2 linked regions of the Anolis sagrei genome follow. The protein of the gene in region 1 purifies or fractionates together with the protein of each later gene. This does not show direct contact. Links are inferred from orthologs where the notes say so. Each region holds a gene or a part of one and is shown in the gene's direction. Other genes may lie near its edges. The genes, in order: ZYX and ENAH.

The links.
Region 2: the proteins of ZYX (region 1) and ENAH purify together in Homo sapiens (co-immunoprecipitation; 4 studies listed by BioGRID and IntAct, counting the BioPlex papers as one, with this or other methods). This does not show direct contact. The link is inferred for Anolis sagrei from reciprocal best matches to the Homo sapiens genes ZYX and ENAH.

Annotation. Positions count from the first base shown.
Region 1 is NC_090022.1:196,437,903-196,441,811, reverse strand, and holds the start of ZYX (zyxin), read left to right. Parts: upstream 1-1,294; 5' UTR 1,295-1,494; intron 1,495-3,909. UniProt on the Homo sapiens protein: Adhesion plaque protein. Binds alpha-actinin and the CRP protein. Important for targeting TES and ENA/VASP family members to focal adhesions and for the formation of actin-rich structures.
Region 2 is NC_090021.1:39,444,698-39,448,606, reverse strand, and holds the start of ENAH (protein enabled homolog), read left to right. Parts: upstream 1-1,351; 5' UTR 1,352-1,798; coding exon 1,799-1,803; intron 1,804-3,909. UniProt on the Homo sapiens protein: Ena/VASP proteins are actin-associated proteins involved in a range of processes dependent on cytoskeleton remodeling and cell polarity such as axon guidance and lamellipodial and filopodial dynamics in migrating cells.

The DNA of each region.
Region 1 (3,909 bases):
TTCAGTTGCTTCCGACCCTTTGTGACCTCATGGACCAGCCCACGCCAGAGCTCCCTGTCGGCTGTCACCACCTCCAACTCCTTCAAGATCAAGCCAGTCACTTCAAGGATGTCATCCATCAATCTTGCCCTTGGCAGCCCCTCTTCCTTTTTCCTTCCATTTTCCCCAGCATCATTGTCTTCTCTCTGCTTTCCTGTCTTCTCATGATGTGGCCAAAGTATTTCATCTTTGTCTCTACTATCCTTCCCCCTAATGAGCAGTCGGGCTTTATTTCATGAAGTATAGACTGGTTGGATCTTCTCGCGGTCCAAGGCACTCTCAGCACTTTCCTCCAACACCACAGTTCAAAAGCGTCTATCTTCCTTCGCTCAGCCTTCCCTATGGTCCAGCTCTCACATCCGTAGGTGACCAAGGGGAATACCATTGCTTTAAATATGCGGATCTTTGTTGCCAGTGTGATGTCTCTACTCTTGACTGTTTCATCGAGATTGGACATTGCTCTCCTCCCAAGAAGTAAGTGCTTCCTGATTTCCTGGCTGCAGTCTGCATCTGCAGTAATCTTTGCTCCTAGAAATACAAAGTCTGTCACTGCCTCCACGTTTTCTCCCTCTATTTGCCAGTTATCAATCAGTCTTGCTGACATAATCATAGTTTTTTAAATGTTTAACTGCAACCCAGCTTTTGCACTTTCACCTTGGTGAGAAGGCTTTCGGCCATCAAAGTGGTATCATCTGCATATTTAAGATTGTTAATGTTTCTTCCAGCATTTTTTACCCCAGCCTATTCAACTTGTATGCAGAACACACATGATGTGTTCTGCATACAAGTTGAATAGGTTGAGTGAGAGTATACAACCCCGCCGTACGCCTTTCCCAATCTTGAACCAGTCTGCTGTTGCAGAAATAGTTCAGAAATAGTGAGGATCTAATAAGTAACACTACAAAATCCCAAGGGTGGCCTTCAAGGAAAGGAAGGGGGGTGTCTGTGTGTGTGTGTATGAGAAGAGACACCCCTTTTTTGAGGAGGAGGCAAAGAGGAAGCTGTCTCCCCCCCCCCTCTTCCTTCTCCTCTTCTTCCTCCTCCTTCTCCTCCTCTTCTTTCTTGCCTTCCCTCCTTTTTTCGCAACCTCTGCCTCCCCGGTTTGCCACATTCCCGGAGGAGTGAGCTCAGCTGTTGGGTCGGCGCGGCCTCTCTCCTTTTATGGTCAAAGCGCGGCTGGGGCCGGGCGAGGCTCCCCTCCGCCGAGCGAGGGAGAAAGTGAGGAGTTCTGGGGACCCTCCTCCTCCTCCTTTTCCCTCCTCCTCCTCCTCCTCCTGAGGGCCGCCCCTTCCCGAACTTCCTCTCAGCCCCGCCGCCGGGCAGCGCTTGGGAAAGTCGCGCGCCGGAGTGTGAGGGCTGGCACTGCCTGGCCGCGAGACCCTTCCAAGCACTCTCTCTCCTCCTCAGGCGCACAGGCGCGCGCAAAGCCCTCCTCTTGGGACCACCGTCTTCAAGGTAAGCCAGGCTGCGCTTCGCCTCATACTTCGGGGGTTCCGGGGCTGAAAAGGCGAGGGGGCCGGGCTGTTCTCCTCTTCCTCTGTCCCGTCCCTCCGAAGGCGCCTTTTCCTCCAAAGTCTTCTTCCTTGAGCGCGCTTTCGTGCTGAGAGGAAGGGCTTAAGCGAGGCTACTCCATGCACGCGCCACACCAGGCACTCTCCAAACTCCAGCTGTGCGCCTCCAACTCCCAGAAGCCCTCGCCGGCTTGTTGAATGGTCAGGCATTCTGGGAGTTGGAGGCCCAAGCAGCTGGACAGCCTGAGTTTCAGGACCCTTACACACAGCCCTATAACCCAGAATATCAAGGCAGAAAATACCACAATATCTGCTTTGAGCTGAGTTATCTGAGTCCACACCCAGACAATGTGGGGTTTCCTGCCTTGATATTCTGGGATATAGGGCTGTGTGGAAGGGCCCTCCCAGGCAACCCTATAACCTAGAATATCAAGGCAGAAAATCCCACAATATCACTTTGAACTGGGTTATCTGAGTCCACATTTGGAAAAAAGGGATTTTCTGCCTTGATATTCTGGGATATAGGGCTGTGTAGAAGGGCCCTCCCAGGCAGCCCTATAACCCAGAATATCAAGGCAGAAAATACTACAATATCTGCTTTGAACTGGGTTATCTGAGTCCACATTTAGAAAAAAAGGTATTTTCTGCCTTGATATTCTGGGATATAGGTCTGTGTGGAAGGGCCCTCCCAGGCAGCCCTATAGCCCAGAATATCAAGGCAGAAAATCCCACAATATCCACTCTGAACTGGGACTCCTTTTACACAGCTGAATAAAATCCCACATTACCTGCTTTGGACTGGGATATATGACAGTATGGACTAAGGCAGTGTTTCTCAACCTGTGGGTCCCCAGGTGTTTTGGCGTACAACTCCCAGAAATCCCAGCCAGTTTACCACCTGTTAGGATTTCTGGGAGTTGAAGGCCAAAACATCTGGGGACCCACAGGTTGAGAACCACTGGACTAAGGGCTCTTCCACACAGCTGTATCAAGGCAGAAAAACACACAATATCTCCTTTGTACTTGAGTTATCTGAGTCCACACTGCCACATATCCCAGTTCAAAGCAAATAATGTGGAATCTTATTCAGCTGTGTGGATGGGGCCTTAGATAACCCTGTTCAAAGCAGATATTGTTGGATTTTCTGCCTTGATATTCTGGGTTATATGGCTGTGTGGAAGGGCTCTAAGTTATCCAAGGGCACTTCCAGGCAAGCCCTACATCCCAGGATCTGATCGCAGGTTTTCTGCATTAGACTGCATTATATGAGTGTGCACTGCCAGATAATCTGGGATAAAGAGAAAAACTGGGATCAGATCCTGGGATATAGGGCCTCTCTGGAAGGGCCCTAAAGCACCACACAGTTGAATAAAATCCAATGTTATTTGCTTTGAACTGGAATATATGACAATGTGGACTCTAATAACCCAGTTCAAAGCATATATTGTGGGTTATTCTGTCTTGATATTCTGGATTATATGGCTGTGTGGAAGGGCTCTGAGTTCACGCTGCCATATATTCCAGTTCAAAGAAGATAATGTGGGATTTTATTCAGCTGTGTGGAAGGGGCCTCAGGATGCCTGTTTCTTCCTTGCCAGACATATCCTCCCCTCCTCCTCCTCAAGGGAAATACCTCCAACCTCAAGTCTCCTCCTTTCTCTTGTAAAAGCTTGGCAGCTGGTGAAAGTTGAGAGGCGGGGACTGTTGCAAGCTTTTAACTCAAAGGGCCCTTCCACACAGCCGTGTAACCCAGGATATCAAGGCAGATAATTGACAATATCTGCTTTGAATTGGTTTATCTGAATCCACATTGCCATATAATTCCATTCAATGTGGATTTTATACAGTGGTGTGTAACAGGCAGGTATCTCCTTCTCTCTCTCTCTGAGGCCCTCTCCTGAGCCATTTTTCCAGATGTATAGATAGACTTGGGTAAGGAGAAGGACTCCCCCCCCCCCCATTCCTGCGGGTGGCCTTCCTCCTGGAGAGTGCGCTTACTTCTTCCTTTTACTTTCTTGATTTAAGGCCTGTGGGTGTGAAGGGCTTGTGACTGTAGGCCTTCCTTTCACTTCTCTTCTCTGCAGGTATATCTTTGCCAAGGTACTTTTTTCTTTCTTTTCTGACTTGGCCAACAGAGCATCCCACCAGATTATACTATGTAACAAAATCTGAAAAACATTATGTTCCCAGGTTGAAAGTGTTATTTTTTTGTTTTATTGTGTCTGATGTACTTTGAAAGTAGGGCCCTTCCACACAGCCCTATTTCCCAGAATATCAAGGCAGAAAATCCCACATTATCTGAGTGTGGACTTAGATAACCCAGTTCAAAGCAGATATTGTGGGATTTTCTGCCTTGATA
Region 2 (3,909 bases), on another chromosome or scaffold:
ATAATAATAATAATAATAATAATAATAATAATAATACACTTTATTTATATTCCCCTTTATCTCCCTGGACGGACTCAGAGCGGATTACAATACACATATGAAGCAAACATTCAATGCCTTTTACACACAGTGAACAACAGCATACAACACAGACAAAGGTAAAGGCCTTCCCCTTTTTTTCATATCCGGTGTCTAGAGGCGATGCTCAACTCCAGCCATGGGGAGGTGCTCTTGCTCCATTCTCCCATGCCAAGGAGCCTGTTGTCCATAGACATCTCCGATTGTGTTGCCAGCATGTCTGCATGGGGCGCCCTTTTACCTTCCTGCCAAGGTGGTAACTATTGATCTACTTGCATTTCATGCTTTAAAATTGTTAGGTTGGCAGAAGCTAGGGCTGGCAGTTGGGAGCTCACCCCAACTTGTGGCTTTGAAGTTTCAACCTTCTGGTTAGATTTCCTGCAGCTAGCAGTTTAACCTGCTTGTGCTACTGCAGGTAGCACAGCGGGTTAAATTGTACCAATCAATCAATTGTAATTTTACAAGGTTTTAGTCTTCTCCCGGGAAGAGTACCAAGGCCAAGATGGATGGATGGCATCCTTGAAGTGACTGGACTGACCTTGAAGGAGCTGGGGGTGGTGACGGCCAACAGGGAGCTCTGGCGTGGGCTGGTCCATGAGGTCACGGAAAGTCGGAGACGACTGAACGAATGAACAACAACAACAATAGACTAATACAAAATATTTTGAAAGATTATAGAAGTGTTTTTTAAAAATAAATATATTATACATATATGGCTGGAGTTACACTTAAAAATGTACCTGTTCCGACTTACACACAAATCCAACCCACAGAACCTATCTGGTTCGTAACTTGGGGACTGGCTGTAGTTTTGAAAGAATTTGGCCTCCTTTTCCAAAGAGTGCCGGTGTGCCTCCTCACACCGCAGCTGCGATGGACTCCACGGCAGATGGAGCAGTGCCAAGGCTGCGTGCACACTCCACGGTGCAGATGCGCTCAGTCAGGAGGGACGTGAGCAGCACGGTGTACCTACTGACCGACCCGCGGCTAGGTAAGTAGTGCGCAAAAAAAAAGGGAAGCGATACGGAGAGCGGCCGGCAGGGGGGGCGCGAGAGAGCGTGCTCATCGCGGTGGCAACGCCGGGCGGAGGAGCCTGCTTGCCTCCCGCGCGGATTGGGCGAGCCCACCTCTGGGCGCCCCCTCCCCCCCTTTTGAGATCCCGCATGGAATGCACGGAGAATGCAGAGCAGGTCCAATAGGCGCGGCTTGCCCCTGGCCCCGCCCCCTCGGCGCGCCTGCTCCGGAGGCCTGGCCCCTCCCTCGCCTTGCAGCCCCCTCCCCTCCCCCTGAGAAGCCGGTCTCTCCGCCGCCTGCCTTGCTCCCTTCCTTCCTTCCTTTCTTTCTCCTCTCCCCTTCCTCTCCCCTCCCCTCCCCGAAAGCCGGGGTTCTCCCGCGTAATCCTCGCGGCGCCTCGAGGGTCGCCTCTCTCTCCCCCTCCCTCCCTCCGCGCTCTTCTTTCCTTTCTTCCCTCCCTCCCTCCTTCCTTTCGGACTCCCCGCTGTGGCCGGCGGAGGGAGGGTTGCCAAGGCAGGGACTGGCTGGCGCCTGAGCAGAAAGAGAGAGAGAGAGAGAGAAAGGAAGGAGAGAGAGAGGGACCCTTGCCTCCGCTCCTTTTCCTCCTTTGGCCTCCCGCTCCCATTGAGAAGAGGAAGAGGAAGGAAGACAGGCAGGAGCTGGGCCTGGGGGGAAGGCGCCCCCCGCCCGGACCTTGGGCAGCAACATGAGGTAAGACAGAGGAAGGAGGAGGGGGAGGAGGAGGAGGAAGGGGCTCCTTGACTTGATCAATAGGAGGGAAGCCATTATGGAGGAGGAGAAGGGGGGGGGAGGGAGGCACCGTGTGTGTTTAATGGGGGGCTGGTCCTAACTGGGGAGAGGGAAGGGGTTCTTGTGGGAGAGGATTGGACTAGGAAACCCAAGGAAGTATTCAGTAGGGGGTTTGATAGGAATATGGGGGCCTCTGGTCTGGGAAACCCCAATAAGGTGTTCAATACGGGGTTTAATAGGAACATGGGGGCCTCTGGACTGGGGAAACCCAGAGATACACAATAGGGGGTTAATAGGAATAAGGACTCTGGAGTGGGAAAACCCAAAGAGGTATTCAATAGGGGGTTTGATAGGGATATGGGGGCCTCTGGTCTGGGAAACCCCAATAAGGTGTTCAATAGGGGGTTTAATAGGAACATGGGGCCTCTAGTGGGAAACCCCAATAAGGTGTTCAATAGGGGATATAATAGGAATATGGGGCCTCTGATCTGGGAAACCCCAATAAGGTGTTCAATAGGGGGTTTGAATAGGGATATGGGGGCTCTGGACTGGGAAAACCCAATGAGGTATTCAATAGGGGGGTTGATAGGGACATGGGGGCCTCTGGGCTGGGGAAACCTAGAAGTATACAATAGGGGGTTAATAGGAATTAGGGGGCCTCTGGATTGGGAAACTCCAATGAGATATTAAATAGAGGGTTTAATAGCAACATGGGGCCTTTGGACTGGGAAACCCAATAAGGTGTTCAAAAGAGGGTTTAATAGGGCTATGGGGGGCTCTGCACTGGGAAAACCCAGAGATATACAATAGGGGTTAATAGGAATAAGGGGGCCTCTGGATTGGGAAACTCCAATGAGGTAGTCAATAAGGGGTTTAATAGGGATATGGGGGTATCTGGACTAGGAAAACCCAATGAGGTATTCCATTGGGGGTTGACTAAGAATATGGACTGGGAAACTCCAATGAGATATTCAATAGGGACTTGAACAGGAATATGGGGCCTCTGGACTGGGAACCCCCAATGAGGTATTCAGTGAGGGGTTTAATAGGGAAGTGGGGGCTTCTGGACTGGGAAACGCCATTTCGGGGAGGGCTTAATGGGGGTCTGGGCTGTGTTTGGAAGCAAAGGGGTGCAAGGAGCAGAAAGGGGAGCCCTTTCGCGCAGTCCGGCCATTCAATTCATCCCCCATCGACTGAATTGCGTTGTATCCCCATTCCTGTTATTGTCGGGTCTTCCTCCTCCTCCTCCTCCTCCTCTTTCCCATTGTTCCTTTGCATGGAAAGTGGGGGAAGTTCTTGTGTGTGTTTTGCCGGTCGAGGCAGAGCAGGCGACGACTGCTGTGTTCGTGGGGGATCATCATGGCTCATCTCTCTGGCTTTTTTGCGGGGCTTTTGTTGCAAGCCAGGGCTGGAAGGAGGAGAGGGTTGGCTGGTTGGTGCGCAGGAGGGAGGGAGGGAGGGAGGAAGGAAGGAAGGAAGGAAAGAGGGAGAGCCATTCATTTATTAACGGGAGGGGGATTCGGCATGGATGCGTTTTGCTTTGGGCGGGGGGCGAGGAGGAGGAGGAGGGCCAGGCTGCTTCTTCCAGCGTCCTTTTAGGATTCGCTTTGGGAAACCAGACTCGGAATCACCTCGTAGAGTTGCCGAATTCAAGGTGGAGACGAGGAAAAAGCCGTGTGTTGCAATGCAGCAGTCCCTGCTGGGTTTTGTCTTTTGTGTAATCGATAAATAGGAGGAATTGGGGGGGGGGGGGGAGAGAGAGAGAGAGAGAGAGAGAAAGCGCTCACACAATGCTTTGGGAATCTCGAATATTTGTATTTAGGTTTTGTTTTGGTCTCCCTATCGAAGGAGGCATGCCTGTCCTCCTTCTCCCTGCATGAACCCTGGAGAAGAAAAGGGTTCATTTCCCCTGGAAACACTCGCGAAGGAGGGGGGGGGGAGAGGGAGGAGGCTCCTCTGTTTTGCATTCTGCAACTACTCCTCTGCTTTGATGCAACACTTAAAATTGAGGCTCAGGAGGTTGTTTTGCATTAGGATCCAGGGAAAGCTATTCCTTCTGCCAGAGTT